2 linked regions of the Elephas maximus indicus genome follow. The protein of the gene in region 1 interacts with the protein of each later gene in a biochemical or structural test. Links are inferred from orthologs where the notes say so. Each region holds a gene or a part of one and is shown in the gene's direction. Other genes may lie near its edges.

Evidence for each region. The genes of interacting proteins can lie anywhere in the genome.
Region 2: of the proteins of MAPKAPK2 (region 1) and ZFP36, one has a biochemical effect on the other in vitro, tested with the Homo sapiens proteins (2 studies listed by BioGRID). The link is inferred for Elephas maximus indicus from reciprocal best matches to the Homo sapiens genes MAPKAPK2 and ZFP36.

Annotation. Positions count from the first base shown.
Region 1 is NC_064836.1:16,408,369-16,415,191, forward strand, and holds the start of MAPKAPK2 (MAP kinase-activated protein kinase 2), read left to right. Parts: upstream 1-3,804; 5' UTR 3,805-4,133; coding exon 4,134-4,412; intron 4,413-6,823. UniProt on the Homo sapiens protein: Stress-activated serine/threonine-protein kinase involved in cytokine production, endocytosis, reorganization of the cytoskeleton, cell migration, cell cycle control, chromatin remodeling, DNA damage response and transcriptional regulation.
Region 2 is NC_064829.1:112,055,034-112,062,461, reverse strand, and holds ZFP36 (mRNA decay activator protein ZFP36), read left to right. Parts: upstream 1-4,956; 5' UTR 4,957-5,030; coding exon 5,031-5,054; intron 5,055-5,875; coding exon 5,876-6,823; 3' UTR 6,824-6,928; downstream 6,929-7,428. UniProt on the Homo sapiens protein: Zinc-finger RNA-binding protein that destabilizes several cytoplasmic AU-rich element (ARE)-containing mRNA transcripts by promoting their poly(A) tail removal or deadenylation, and hence provide a mechanism for attenuating protein synthesis.

The DNA of each region.
Region 1 (6,823 bases):
GTGGAGGCACAAGGGCCACCGATCCAGTGATGAGGCGACGTCATGAATCAATGATTATAAGTAATCCATTCTGTGTACCTGAGCTGCTTACATTGTCTGTGTACTATCTTGCACAGCGTCTGTTTGCTTGTCAACTGTAGATAAAAACAGTACTTTCTATTGGCATAGACTTTTAACCCTTGAAGTTTTTATAAATCCATAAAAACTGTTTATTAAGTAGCTCATTACAGGCAGCTGAAAGCTTGCTATTATATAAGTAGGACTTTGGACTTCTTTGTGCCCTATGGGAAACTATTTTATTTTATCCTTACAATAACCCTCTGTCATGGGTTGAACTGTGTCCCCCAAAAGTATCTGTCAACTTGGTTAGGTCATACTTCCCAGTATTGTATGACTGTTTACCATTTTGTCATCTGATGTGATTTTCCTATGTGTTGTAAATCCTAACGCTATGATGTTAATAAGATGGATTAAACCAAACCAAACCAAACCAAACCAAACCCACTGCCGTCAAGTCGATTCCAACTCATAGAGACCCTGTAGGACAGAGTAGAACTGCCCATAGAGTTTCCAAGGAGCGCCTGGCGGATTCAAACTGCTGACCTTTTGGTTAGCAGCCATAGCACTTAACCACTACGCCACCAGGATTAGTGGCAGTTATACTGATGAGATCTACAAGATTAGTGTTTTAAGCCAATCTCTTTTGAGATATAAAAGAGAAAAGCAAGCAGAGAGACACAGGGACCTCATACCACCAAGACAGCAGCTCCGGTAGCAGAACGCATCCTTTGGACCTGAGGTTCCTGTGATGAGATGCTCCCAGACCAAGGGAAGACTGATGACAAGGACCTTCCAAGAGCCTACAGAGACAGAAAGCCTTCCTCTGGAGCCAGTGCCCTGAATTTTGACTTCTAGCCTACTGGACTGTGAGAGAATAAGCATCTTTTGTTAAAGCCATCCACTTGTGGTATTTCTGTTATAGCAGTCCTAGATGACTAAGATACCCTCCAAGGTAGGCAGGGCAGATGTTATTATCACTATTTTACAGATGAGAAGAGGGAACTAAGAGGGTAAGGTATGTTCTTGAGGTCATATAGCTAGTTAATACCACAATGGACTCTGGTTCCCTTGCCTAGTGCTTCTTCCTTTAGCCCAGCTCGCTCCTCAGTTATTCATCCATTTAGGCATTTTTTTTTGTTAAATGTCCCTGGGTGGTGCAAATCATCTGGATTTGACTACTAATCTAAAGGTTGGTAGTTTGAACCCACCCAGCAGTACTGCTGTAATCTGTTTCAGTAACAATTACAGCTAAGAAAACTCTACGGAGCAGTTTTATTCTGTAACACTAGGATTGCCATGAGCTGATATTGACTTGAGGTCAATGGATCTAGTTTTGGTTTTCAGGTAGGCACATACATGTGTGTGTTTTCTGGGGCTGCGTGTGTAGTATATGTAATCTCTGTGCACTGTCTATGTGTCCTTAGAGTCCTGCATGCCGCTCTAGGGCTAATCTGCCTTACTTCTCAACTCCATGAGGATTCCAGTTGTCATGTTATTCCTAGGTCATCAGGCTTTAGCATCTCCCCAGAGCCCCAGCTAGATAGGAAGGCGGCTTTGATATCAGGGACAGACCCTTAGGCAGTGGGCTCAGCACAGGGGAGCAAGGCCAGCAATATACAAATAATGATAATATTTAACACTTCATGATAATTTAGTTTACAGTTTATGAAGGGTTCTCATGTGCACTATCTCAGTGGATTCTCACTCAACCCTGAAAGCAGATTTTATTATTTTCTTCATTTTCTAGACATAAAGAGACATTAAATGGCTTGTTCAAGATAACTCAGCTGGAGGACAGGCGTGAATTCGGGTCATTTGTCTCTGATTTCTATTCTCTTTCCACTATGCCTTGCTGCCTCTGAAAGAGCACCAGGAGCTATACTCTTCCTAGCCTTGTGAGAGAAGCCAGTCAAGTGCAATGCCAAGCAAGGGGAAGCCCTGTCCCCTACTCCTCTGCAGAGAGAAAAAGGCCAACCCGGAGCCCTGAACAGCCCCAGACCAGTGACCCCTCTACCTGAGAAAGAAATTGATCAGACGGAGCCTTTCTCCCCCCATCCTTGTGACCCTAATTCTTTGGGGGATCTCCCAAGCCTGCCTCAGGTGATAGCAATACATTAGAACTGGGGAGGTGGAGGTGTTTTCCAACCCCTGTGGTTTTGGGTAGCCTCTTTGTCTTTGAAGAGTCAGGGAGCTCAGGGGAGGTGTCTAACCCTACCCGTCCTTACAGCACAGGAGGAAGCTCCCTGCTACCCCAGACAGAGGATCGCTACTCCTTCAGCTCCCGGGGCTGGGTCTGTGCCTCTCTAAAGATATCTAGTACATGTCTGTGTCTCCTTACCCTCAAAATTGTTAACACCATCCATCACTGCATGGTACCATGTACACAGTCAGCACTAAATAAGTGCTCCTTAAAAAGAATGAATGTGCTCCTTGGTTTGTAGAGCAAGCCCTCCTGTCTCAGGAGGGACAGAGCCAGACAGCGACTCCTGCCCTTCCCTCCACCCCCTCACTCTGGCCTCCCAGCGGGAGAAATGTCTTCTGGGAAAGGTGAGGGAGGGAGGAGTCACTGGTACTTGTGCCTTCCTCTCCTGGGCTCCCTCCTCAAAAGCCTGGTCCTCAGGAAGTTCTCTGCTTCTCCCTAAGCTGAGTTTCCCCTGACAGGGGGCTCTGGACTTGTGGAGGGACATAATAGGGGCGATGGTGGCCATAGGTCAAGCCACATTCTCTAATTTGGCCCACGAGTAATTAAGCTGAGGTTTTGTGTCTTACTTCTCAACTGCCCTACTAGTCGGAGAGGGGAGGAGGTCAGCAGGGATGCATTTGATAGTCATGCCCAGGCCCCACCAGAATGCATGCCCAGGCCTCCTGGCAGCTTATATTCAGGGCCTCCCACTCATTGCCCTGATCCAGGCTATGCTATGGGACCCCCTAGCTCGCTGGCATCTTCTTCAGATACATGGGGCTACCCTGGGCCAGAACTAGGCTTGTTCAGAAACGCCTGCTTCTTCTTATGCCTGTAGGTTCAGGAAAAACATTTTCCACGTTGGAAATCAGAACCTATTCCCCAGACTCTCCCTTTTCTCCATGATCTTACCTGATACTCTCCACAAGCCCATGAGAAAGGCGTCACTACTCTTTCCACCGAGAGAGAGGGGCAAAGTCTGTCTTTCTCTGATCATGCAGCCAGGCAATTGTAAAGGCTCACCTGATTTCAGGTGATCTGGATCTCGACCCATCCTCTTCCCATCCCGCATCCTTTTAAATTCATATGAAAAACAATACATGTATGAGGAAATAAATCCAAAACTCATAGGTAAACGAGGGAACTGTTCAATTAAGTAAATATCTAATATTAGTATCACACGTGTTTCTAGGATGAACGGCCCCAGTGATTTCAACAAACTCCTGAGCGCCTATCAAGCTCACACTTGCCATCCCTTCTCCTTCAAAACATACCCCCTCCTCCAATTCGCTGCTGCTGTTCTAAAAGACCCAGACGGTTGGAGAAAAGTGGATTTTCCATCTGAATTATGTAGCTGCTTTCCTCCACCACCCCTTTCCCTTTGTGTGGTACCGGGGAAGAACTAAAATCTCCCCTTTTCGTCTCGCGCCTCCCAGCCACTGGCGCGGCCCACCACGCTGCAGGCGCCTCGCGTCCTCCCCTTTAAGACACCCACGCTTCCCGGCTCCGCCTCGTCTCCCCAAGCCCCGCCCCCGGCCCTCCCCTTTAAGGGCCAGCCCCGGACGCAGACGAGGCTGTGACGCGGCCGCCGGCCCGGGCTGGGTACATTGTCGCGCGGCCGCTTCCCCCCGGCCGGCCCCCGCCGTCCCGCGTTCCACCGAGCGCCAGGCCCCCGGGGGGAGGGACGAGGGCCGGTGGGCGCCAGCGGCGGACGGCGGGACCCACGGAGCCCCGCGACCCGCCGAGCCTGGAGCCGAGCCGGGGCGGGGAAGCCGGCTCCAGCCCGGAGCAAACTTTCCAGCCGGGCGGGGGGTGGCGGGGACCCGGTCCGGAGCCGGAGGAGGGGGCGGCCGCGGGCCCTCCGGCCCCTGCGCCCGCGTCTCCGGGCACCATGCTGTCCAACTCCCAAGGCCAGACTCCTCCGGTGCTGTTCCCCGCCCCGCCGCCGCCGCCGCAGCCCCCCGCCCCGGCTCCGCCGCACCCCCCGGCCCAGCCGCCGCTGCAGCCCCCGCCGCAGTTCCCGCAGTTCCACGTCAAGTCGAGCCTGCAGATCAAGAAGAACGCCATCACCGACGACTACAAGGTCACCACCCAGGTCCTGGGGCTGGGGATCAACGGGAAAGTTTTGCAGATCTTCAACAAGCGGACCCAGGAGAAATTCGCCCTAAAAGTAGGTTTAGGGCCGGGGGGAGGGGAGGGAGAAGGGGCGCTCCCGGGACGACCCCCTGCTCTCCGGGCGGCGGGGGCGAGGAGTCGCCTTCACTTCATCTGCTGACCCTTCGGGGGCGTCCGGCGCCGGCGGGGTGAGTGGCCGCAGCGGGGCGGCCGGGGTGCCCGAGTGGTGCCAAGTGCGCGGCTCCGGGGAGCCGAGCCGGGAAGGTCAGGTCGGATCTGACCCGCTGCCGGCCCAGCCGGGCTTCCGGTCACCTCGGGGCGCGAGTGGCGGGGACTCGAGACGACTCGTGCGGACTCTGCCATTTTGGGGTTTGAGCGGGATCCTGCCGAATCGGGACGGTTGGCTTTGGGACCAATTGTGCTTAACCCCGTCTCTAGGAAGTGATTTTCGGAGGCCGTGGCTCCCCATCCTCTCCTCCCTCCTTTCTGTCTTTCTGCGGGCACAGAAGGCCCATTACTCATTGAGCTGGTTGGTCGGTTGGTTTGGAGAAGTCGGATCTCTGAGGTTTATTTAGCCTCGCTCCTTATTTGGGAGCCGGAATGTGTGATTTCACTTCCCTGGGCCTCGCGAGCGCGGCCGTGCCGCCTCGGGGCGCGCTGGCCCGCCGGGGCAAGGCTGGAGATTCCGCGGGGATACCGTCCCCCGGCGCGGGGGAGGGATTGTTTTGATCCTAGAGCAGGCCCCCTCCTACCTCCGGTGCTTGTGCGGCTCCAGATGGGAGGCCAGCAGGCTCCGGCGGGTGTCTGCTGTTTCCATGGCTCCATCGATCTTCCTAAACCGAATCTGTAAACCTGGGCTTGGCTCCGTGCTGATTCCGCGACTCGGAGGTGGCCTCTTTAGCCGTGGAGATGGACAGTAGGAGCGAGCGTCAGCCTTGGGCTGGGGAAACCCAGCCTTTCATTTTTTTTTTATTTTTTGAGGGGGCGTGGTAGGGGAGAACACTTCGGAAGGTAAATAGAATGGACTTGGAGGTCTGATGAGTTGGGGTGGGTCCCCAGACAGTGTGAGCCAGTCGTTCAAGGGTCACCAAAAAGTAGGTGTTCTCCCTCAGAGGGGTTTCAGGTCAAACCACATCTCTAAAGGTGACACACCAGGTCTATTTCCCCTGGGCCGTGTTAATGATTGGAGGAGGAGAAAATACTTCCTGTGTTATATTTTTCTCTTTCCCCTCCACCCGCACAGCTGGCAGTATTTCAGCTGTTAAATACAAAACTCAGATATGAGTTATGGGCAGACTGTTGGAATATATAATCAGATATAATAAAAACCTGGCACTTTGGGGCTGTAGAGGGCAAGCATGAGCAATTCCCAGATTTTAAGGTCTCTGAAATGGTTTTCTTGTTGCTTCCATCCTCTCTTTTGGGGAGAGCTTTCCGCTAGCCTGAACTCTTTCAGATTTCTTTGGTTTTTATGATTAGCCGTTGCTGTGGGCTCTTGATGGTTTTCTCATGCTGGGTGTTGTAGAGGGAGTAGATGTGTGTCTCGGAAGTGTTGGTGTCTGTGCCTTAGACCCTTCTTTCCATACTTGGAACCGGGAAAGGGAGAGGGAATGTTTGTCTTGTCTGTGGCTCTGACCTTGAGGAACAGAGTTGAGTGAATACAGTTTGACCACAGTTAACCTGTACCCTTGAGGAAGTGACAGACATGCTTTCCAGGAGAGTTTTCTATCCCCTCTGAGACGCCATCTGCTGTCACCCATCCGCAGTTTGGGGACACTGGCTGTTCATTCTCTTGGATGGAGAGAATGTTGTATAGACCTTCAGAACAAAAGCTCTCAACTTCTGCTCCATGTATGTGTAATAGACACACAAAACTACCCTCTAGTCTGCTTTTAGATGGCAGTTCGGGTTCTTTTGTAAAAATCGGGGAAAGAGAGTTGGCTTTTTCACTTTTGAATAGTTTTGAAAGGAAAAATATAACAATGTTTAAATGACACACGGAGTCTAGTGGGTTTTCATGAGCATAATTTATCTTTCTCAGTTAGAAGTGGGTGAAGATTGAAGTCAGAGTCTGTTTTGACAGGCAACCTGCTCCCAGACCTTACAAGTTGACTCAACTGTTAAACTGTAGATTTCCCACACATCTTTGCGTAAAAGCTTAATAATAGAGGAAAAAAGGAGGATGAGGCATGAGGAGAGTGACAGCAGTGTCAACAGCCCTTCCATATCCCAATACTGGTTAAGGTGTAATTACAGCTGTGGGGGCAGTCTGGTTCCAAGAATTCTGCTCCAGAGACATAGACCAAAGAGATTTCTAGATCTTGACTTTTGATTAACTTAACCTTAGGTGCTGAGTAGTGAAATGCTTTTCAAAACCAGGAGTTTTTGATTATAAACCAAAGGAGGAAGATGTGGTGGGGAGGAGAGATTGCTCTTTTGGGAATGTATGAAGGAAAGACGGGGAAG
Region 2 (7,428 bases), on another chromosome or scaffold:
CATAAACATGACAAAGTAGAACGTGTTATCTGATAGCGAGATGCTCCAAGAAGAAAAATAAGGCAGAGGAGTGAGATCAGAAGTAGAGATTTATAACAGCAAAAAACTTGGTACTTAGGAATAAGTCTAAGGCAAGAAACACAAGAGGAAAATTATTAAGCCGTTGAAAACCATTAAAGTTGAAGAGCTTAGGTTGGGTAGGGGTTTCACGGATATTAATTACTATGGTGTACGAACGGATGTTACCTGTATTTTCTTGTATTTATTATGTTATATAGATAAGATGGAAACCACAGTGGTGTAATGGTTAAGAGCTACAGCGGCTAATCAAAAGGTCAGCAGTTCAAATCCACCAGGCACTCCTTGGAAACCCTGTGGGGCAGTTCTACTCTGTCCTATAAGGCCGCTATGGCAACCGGTTTATAGATAAGATAGAGCCCTGGCAGCGCATGCGGTGGTTAAGAGCTCAGCTGCTAATCAAAAGGTCAGCAGTTCCAATCCACCAGCCACTCCTTGGAAACCCTAATGGCGCAGTTTTATTCTGTCCTATAGGGTGGCTATGAGTCAGAATTGACTCGATGACAATGAGTTTTTTTAAAATATAGATACACAAGATTATTATCTAAAAAAGGAAAGTTTTTTTTTTTTAACCTTTGACACAAATTAAGGAAAGCCTCACTGAGGCAATACTGGAGCAAAGACTTGAAGTGGGAATAAGTCATGTGAGCATGTGGGGCAAGGGCATTCCACAGAGAGGGAACAGCAAGTGCAAAGGCCCTGAGGTAGGGATGTGCTGTTGTGTTTATTGAACAGCAAGACGACCTGGGCCACAGTGAGGGGGTGGGAATAGGACAGGAAGTCGAAGCAGATCATGGAGGGACTTGGGGAGAACTTTGTTCTTACTAGGTTATTAGACCGAGTCCGGTGCACAACCACACACTCCAGGGAAGGGTGTATGTGAGATACACAGCCACTCCTGTAGGGAAAAGACCGTGGGGGATACACCCCATCCCAACAGAGGATACCATGATCTACCATCCTACAAGCGCGGTGTCCCCAGGGACCCTGTCACAGTGGCTGCACCACAAACTCTCTGAAGAAATAATCCAATGCCATGAATACACAAACAACCCTCTACCCAGCACTTAACCCGCTATCTGTCACCCCATCGCAGACTTTGCCCATCACAGGCTGACTCAGCCCTGCCCTCAGCCCAACACTATCAGAGGCAGTGTCGCTGGGCATAGATAAGGCCGAACACAGACGCTGCCGTGACTTCTCAGGTGCTGGTGTGTGTGCGTCTGCTCTGCCCACGAAGGCAGACACACCAACAACAACAGGGAGGGGGGCCCCCGCCAGCCGCCTCCCCATCACGCGCGCTGCAGACGTCAGGAACCAAGTTCACCAGTTTCACTGCCTTGTGACGGGGCCACAGGGGAACCACATCCAGACACTGGCCTACCATATTCTAATGCACACGCAATCTGTGACACCAACAAATAAGGCCACAGACGCATGTGAGCACTGTTCACACACCTGGTGATTACACACAAAACTGCCACAACCACACACACGCAGATGGGTGAGCTTACACACAAAGTTGTGTGTGCACAGCCCATCACACCCTCACACAGTTGAGGCCCCCATGTGGGGCACACACAGTTGTACATAGTTCTACAAGGCTGAGAGCACCTCTAGTCACACCAGAGGGCACACACCCGCGCCCAGGCATCTTCACGGAGTTACACACACCCTCAGCCACTCCAGATCCTGCCATGGCATACAGCTATACACAGATGTACAAGCAAAACTCCTGTCAGTCACACGTTGTCATGACTGCCACCTCAAAGCCAGATGCACATAGAGTTCCCACACCCACAGAGGGTTAAAATATGCACAATATGGTCAACCGCACAGGCATAGGCAGTTTGGCACACTTATTCACACACACAGTCACGTCTCATGCACCTTCCACCCTCGGTCTCACACAGCCGGTCATGCCGGGGCACACGCCTTCGCACCTGCAGCGCACACGCTGTTCACACTGCCGCGCGCGCGCGCGCGCGCGCACACACACACACAGGTCCCACGCTCCCTCTCCCCCACGCAGTCGCACACCCAGGCGCAGACAGCCAGCCCGTCCCCCAGGCACACTGGACTCACACCCAGTCAGTCCCGCCGGGCGCACACACGCCACAGGCACACACACGTGCTGCGAGTACGCGGCCCCCAGCTCGCCCGCCCGCCGGCCCGGCCGCCCGCCCGCGCGCTCACAACGGCTCTCACACCCCCGCGTTTCCCGTCCCCGCTTGTTTTTCTGGAAACTCTGCTCCCCGCTCCCCTCCCCCTAGGCCGGAAGTGTTTGCTGTATTTTTAGCCTCTCTGGTTTCCGCCCCTACCCCTCTCCCCTAGCCGCTCAGGACCTGCCCCCAGCGCCTTGGCGGGGGACCCCGGCCGTCCCCTTCCCCAACATCATTCCAAAGGGGATTCCCGGCCGCCGCCGCTGGGGCCGCGGATTTTCCCGCTGGCTACGTCGGGAGCGGGGAGGAGTCCAACGTGAACTTCCTCCTGGGCTGGGACGCCTGACCCCCGGGGGTGGGGGTGGGGGTGGGGGCGGGGGCTGGGAGCCCAGACTCCTGAGTCTGAGCCCGGAGGGGCCTGGGGGTCCGAATTCCTGGGTCTTGGGGAGGAGGGGGCTGGAGGCCCGAACTTCCAGGCTTGGGGGAGAAGGGGACAGGGGGCCGGGACTCCTGGGTCTGGGGGAGGAGGCTGCTTGAGAACCTGAACTCTTCTTTCGCGAGGAGGGGCTGAGATCCCGACCCCTGAGCCCCACAGGTCCGTGTTCGGGGTGCGGGGGGTCAGTCTGTCCGCCCGCAAGGTCCCCCCCTTAAGTCTTTTTGGCCCGGTCCCAAGCGTCCCGGCTCTCTGGCGGATGACTCAGCAGATGGGGGAAGGGAGGGAGGGTCAGCCTGACTCAGGGATGGGAAATGCTCCTTTTTTCCAGGGAATCGGAACGGGATTCCTACTCTAGGACCTCGGCCAGCGTCTAGCTGGGCCCCGGAGACCCCAGGGTGCCCCCACCCATGTTCTCCAGCCGTAGTCCTGTTAGCGGCACCGGGATTTGGAGTCCCCCTGGGAGGGGGCCCGAGGCACCACCACCCCATTTCCCGTTGTTTTGTAGGCTCTGTTTACAGAAGACAGAAGCCCTGGTTACAAGAGAGGAACCCGGGCGTCCGGCCCGAGCCTCCTCGTCACGGCTTCCAGGAAGCCCCCTCTCCCCCGCCCCTTGCAAGTGAGTCACGGGCAAGCGGGAGGCCGCAACCGTGCCAGAGCCGCCCGCGGCCGCTCAGTTCACGAGACCGGCCTGGGAAGGCCCCTGGGCCCCAGAATGCGCTGCACCAGGGATTCCCCCCGTGCTCCGAGGAGCAAATCGCCGCGGAGTCTGGCACAATCTCCCCACCTCAGTGCAAGCCCGCTGCCGCAGTCTGCAAGAATGAATTTTCCGTCATTATAACCCCTCAGTGACAATGGTTTCTTACCGCCTCACCCCTCTCCCTCTCCAGTTTGCGCCTAGGGCCCTACCCATTGCCTTCCAGTCGATTCTGACTGCCCCATAGAGTTTCCAAGGCTGTAATCTTTACAGAAGCAGACTGCCACATTTTTCTCCTGCTTGGCAGCTGGTGGCTTGGAACAGCCAACCTTTCTGTTAGCCCGCGAGTGCTTAACCAATGTTCCCAGGTCCACAACCCCCTTAAAGAACAAGCTTTCTTCCCATATCTTAAGAGAGTTTTCACTCAGGACATCCGCCTGACAATAAGAGACTTGCCAATGTGGGGAATGATCCTCAGCATAGTTGGAGTTCTTGAGGCCAACACCATGATAAACCTCATCCACACATCAGCTGGGGATGACTCATTTCTCCAATCTCAAAACCACTTTCAATCAAGGCAACCCTCCATCATAACAAAAGATCTCTTCCCCCTTTCTGTCTTCAGGATTTGCTCAGAGAGCAAACCTGTAAATATAACTTAAGGTACTGATATTTGGGCCGCTGCCGCTTAGTATAGCTGGGTAGCAAAGGGAGTAACTTTAACTCTGTGCCTCTCTTTTACACAAGTTTCCACTTGTGTAAAATGAGCATATTAATACCTGGTTGACTCATAGCAGTGATAAAGTGAAGGTATATAAAGTACTTAGAAGAGTGCCCAGCCCAGAAGTGACCTAGAATCGTCATCAGCTTCGCGAAGACGAGGGGCTACAGGGGCCCTGCTGAATTGAGAAAGGAGGCCCCTTTCCAGCCTGGCCAGGTAGCCGGGCCACCCACACAACCAACCCGCGAGTGGGGGCGGGAGGGCGGTCGGTCCAGGTCTCCGGATCTGTGTTGCTTGGAAGAGTGCCAAGGGCAGGTCTGGGAAGAGAACTCGCTTCCAGCCTACTGCGCCCATTTCCCCGTTTTGCCCCTTGGAGTTTCTGTCTCCCTCTTCGTGCGTTTATCACTGTTTTTCTCTGTCTCTTTGTACGAATCTCTCCATCCTGCTTCTCATTCTAAACTTCTCTCTGAGACTGTCTCTCATGATGTTTTCTGTCTCCCCACCTCCCCTCTCTCGGTGTGTTTCATCCTGTATATGTCTCTCTCTCCATGTCTGTCCCGCACTCACGCACGCACGCACACCCTCTCTTTTGTCTGTCTGTTCCCTTGTCAATTCCCCGTGGACCTCTGACCCGCCTCCGCCCCTGCTCCCTTCTTCGCGCCTCAGTCTCCAATCTTGAAAACTGGGCCGACACTCCGCACCCCACGCACCCCCCGACTGTGGGCCGGGCGGAAGGGGACTAGTCCAGGACTGGCGCGGCCCGCGCCGGGGGCGCGCGTCCGGGAAGCGCCCTCCTGATCCCGCCCCCCGCCCCGGCCCCGCCCCGATTAGCCCCACCCTCTGTCTATAAGAGGGTGGCCCTCCAGCCCCAACGCAGCCTCTGACTCCATCTCTTCTACTCTCGGCCGAGCCCTCAGCTGACCGGCCCCCAGCTCCGCCATGGATCTCACTGCTATCTACGAGGTGAGCCCCCGCAGCGGCCACCCCCTTTCAAACTAGCGCTCCTTAGCGCCGCAAACTCCGGCCCGGAGACCCTGGCTCCCTTCTCAAACTGAGGCTCCTTAGTGCCACCCACTCCGGCACGGGGTCCCTGCCTTTCTTCTCAGACCAGTGCGATTCTCTGGAGGCGAAAATGAAGCCCGGGACTCCCGGATCTCGTCCCCAATATGGGTGCGGTGACCCTGGAGATAGAAAGCCGGAGGATTTTTCTCCGACGAGGGCTGTCTAGAGGCGGAAACGGCCCCCGAACCTGGCTTACCCCTAGGAGTTGCTGAGGGCGCGCTTTTGCGCGTAGGCGGTTCAGGGGCAAGAGTCTGGAGGGGGAAGCCGACCTCTGTTCCTTGCCTGCCTCCCTCCCTGTCCAGGGGAAGGCTCTCAGAACTGAACCAAAGGGATCCGGACTCCGGGGTTAACTTTGACAGGATCTTCCAGTTATCATACTGGCGATCTAGGAGGCATGGGTCAGATCCGCGGAGTCCCAGAGGCTCAAAATTGGGGGACAGTGGTGTGCCCTGACTTTGGGGCCCCCTCTGTGCCCGGGATCGGAGAGCCCAAATTCCCGGGTGCCCCGGGGTAGGCTTCAGTCGTGGATAAACTCCAAGCCTCCAAATCGAGATTCCTGGAATCGCGAAACCCCGGGTTTCTGCGGGCGGGTGGGGCTCAAGTCAGAGCCCACAAACCCACAAACCGGGCGGGCAGGGCAGGCTCTTAAGGTGCCTTGCCCTGAAGCTGGGGCGGAGCGTCACCCTCCATTTTCGGTGTCTTAACCGCCCCCATTCCCACAGAGCCTCCTGTCGCTGAGTCCTGACCTGGCAGGGACAACCCGCGGAGGCACTGAGTCCAGCCTGGGATGGCCCTCCTCAGGACCCTGGAGCTCATCCGATTGCAGCCCTGCCGGCGTGGTCCCCCGCCTGCCCGGCCGCTCCACCAGCTTGGTGGAGGGCCGCGCCTGCGCCTGGGTGCCACCACCCCCAGGCTTCGCACCCCTGGCTCCACGCCCAGGCCCTGAGTTGTCACCCTCACCCACCTCGCCTACTGCAACCCCGGCCACCTCGTCCCGCTACAAGACTGAGCTGTGTCGGACCTTCTCTGAGAGCGGGCGCTGCCGCTACGGGGCTAAGTGTCAGTTTGCCCATGGCCTGAGTGAGCTGCGCCAGGCCAATCGCCACCCCAAGTACAAGACGGAACTCTGCCACAAGTTCTACCTCCAGGGCCGCTGCCCCTACGGCTCGCGCTGCCACTTCATCCACAACCCCAGCGAGGACTTGGCCACCCCTGGGCACCCCCACGTGTTGCGCCAGAGCGTCAGCTTCTCTGGCCTGCCCTCCGGCCGCCGGGCTTCACCACCACCAGCGGGCCTGCCGGGCCCTTCCCTGTCCTCCTGCTCCTTCTCGCCCTCCAGCTCCCCGCCACCACCGCCTGGGGACCTCCCACTCTCGCCCTCTGCTTTCTCTGCTGCCCCTGGGACCCCTGTGCCCCGAAGGGACCCCACCCCAACCTGTTGCCCCTCCTGTCGAAGAGCAACTCCCAGTCTCTGGGGACCCTTGGGTGGCCTGGCTCGGAGCCCCTCTGCACACTCCTTGGGATCCGACCCTGACGACTATGCCAGCAGCGGCAGCAGTCTGGGGGGCTCTGACTCACCTGTCTTCGAGACGGGGGTTTTTGGGCCACCCCAGCCGCCTGCAGCCCCCCGCCGACTCCCCATCTTCAATCGCATTTCCGTTTCTGAGTGACAAGTCCTCCCTAGTACAGATCAGCTGGATCACAGAGGGGGTCCATTTCTCATGCTGTGGACGCCACAAAGGGCCCTGGGGCTGTGGGGAACTGGGGGAGCCCTTGATCAAGTAGCCCCCTTCACCTTCCCAGATGCATTAACCCACTCTTCTGACCCTGCCCTGGGGCAGGTCCCCAGTGTGCCAGCTGGACAGTGTTTATGGTGTGGGAGATGGAGTGTTTGCTGGGTTCTTTAAAGACAAGATGTAGCATATTGGAGGGAGGCAGTGGGGTCCCCAGCTCTCCCCTGCCCAAATCGGTCTCTTAGAATCTCATGTGCTGTGAATAATAGGCCCCCACTGCCCCCTCCCAATTTTCCTAGACCTGAGGTCCCAACGCCTGGGGGTTAGTGGAGCCTCCCCTGAGAGGGAATCCTGGTGCTCAAATTTCTCTCCAAAAGCAAGCAGCCAAAGCCGTTGCCACCCCCCCGCCCAAGCCAATGGGTCTTTTATTTATGACGACTTTATTTATTCTAATAGATTTTATAGTATTTATATATATTGGGTCGTCTGCTCCCCTTGTATTTTTCTTTCTCCTTTTGTAATATTGGAAACAATGGAATAAT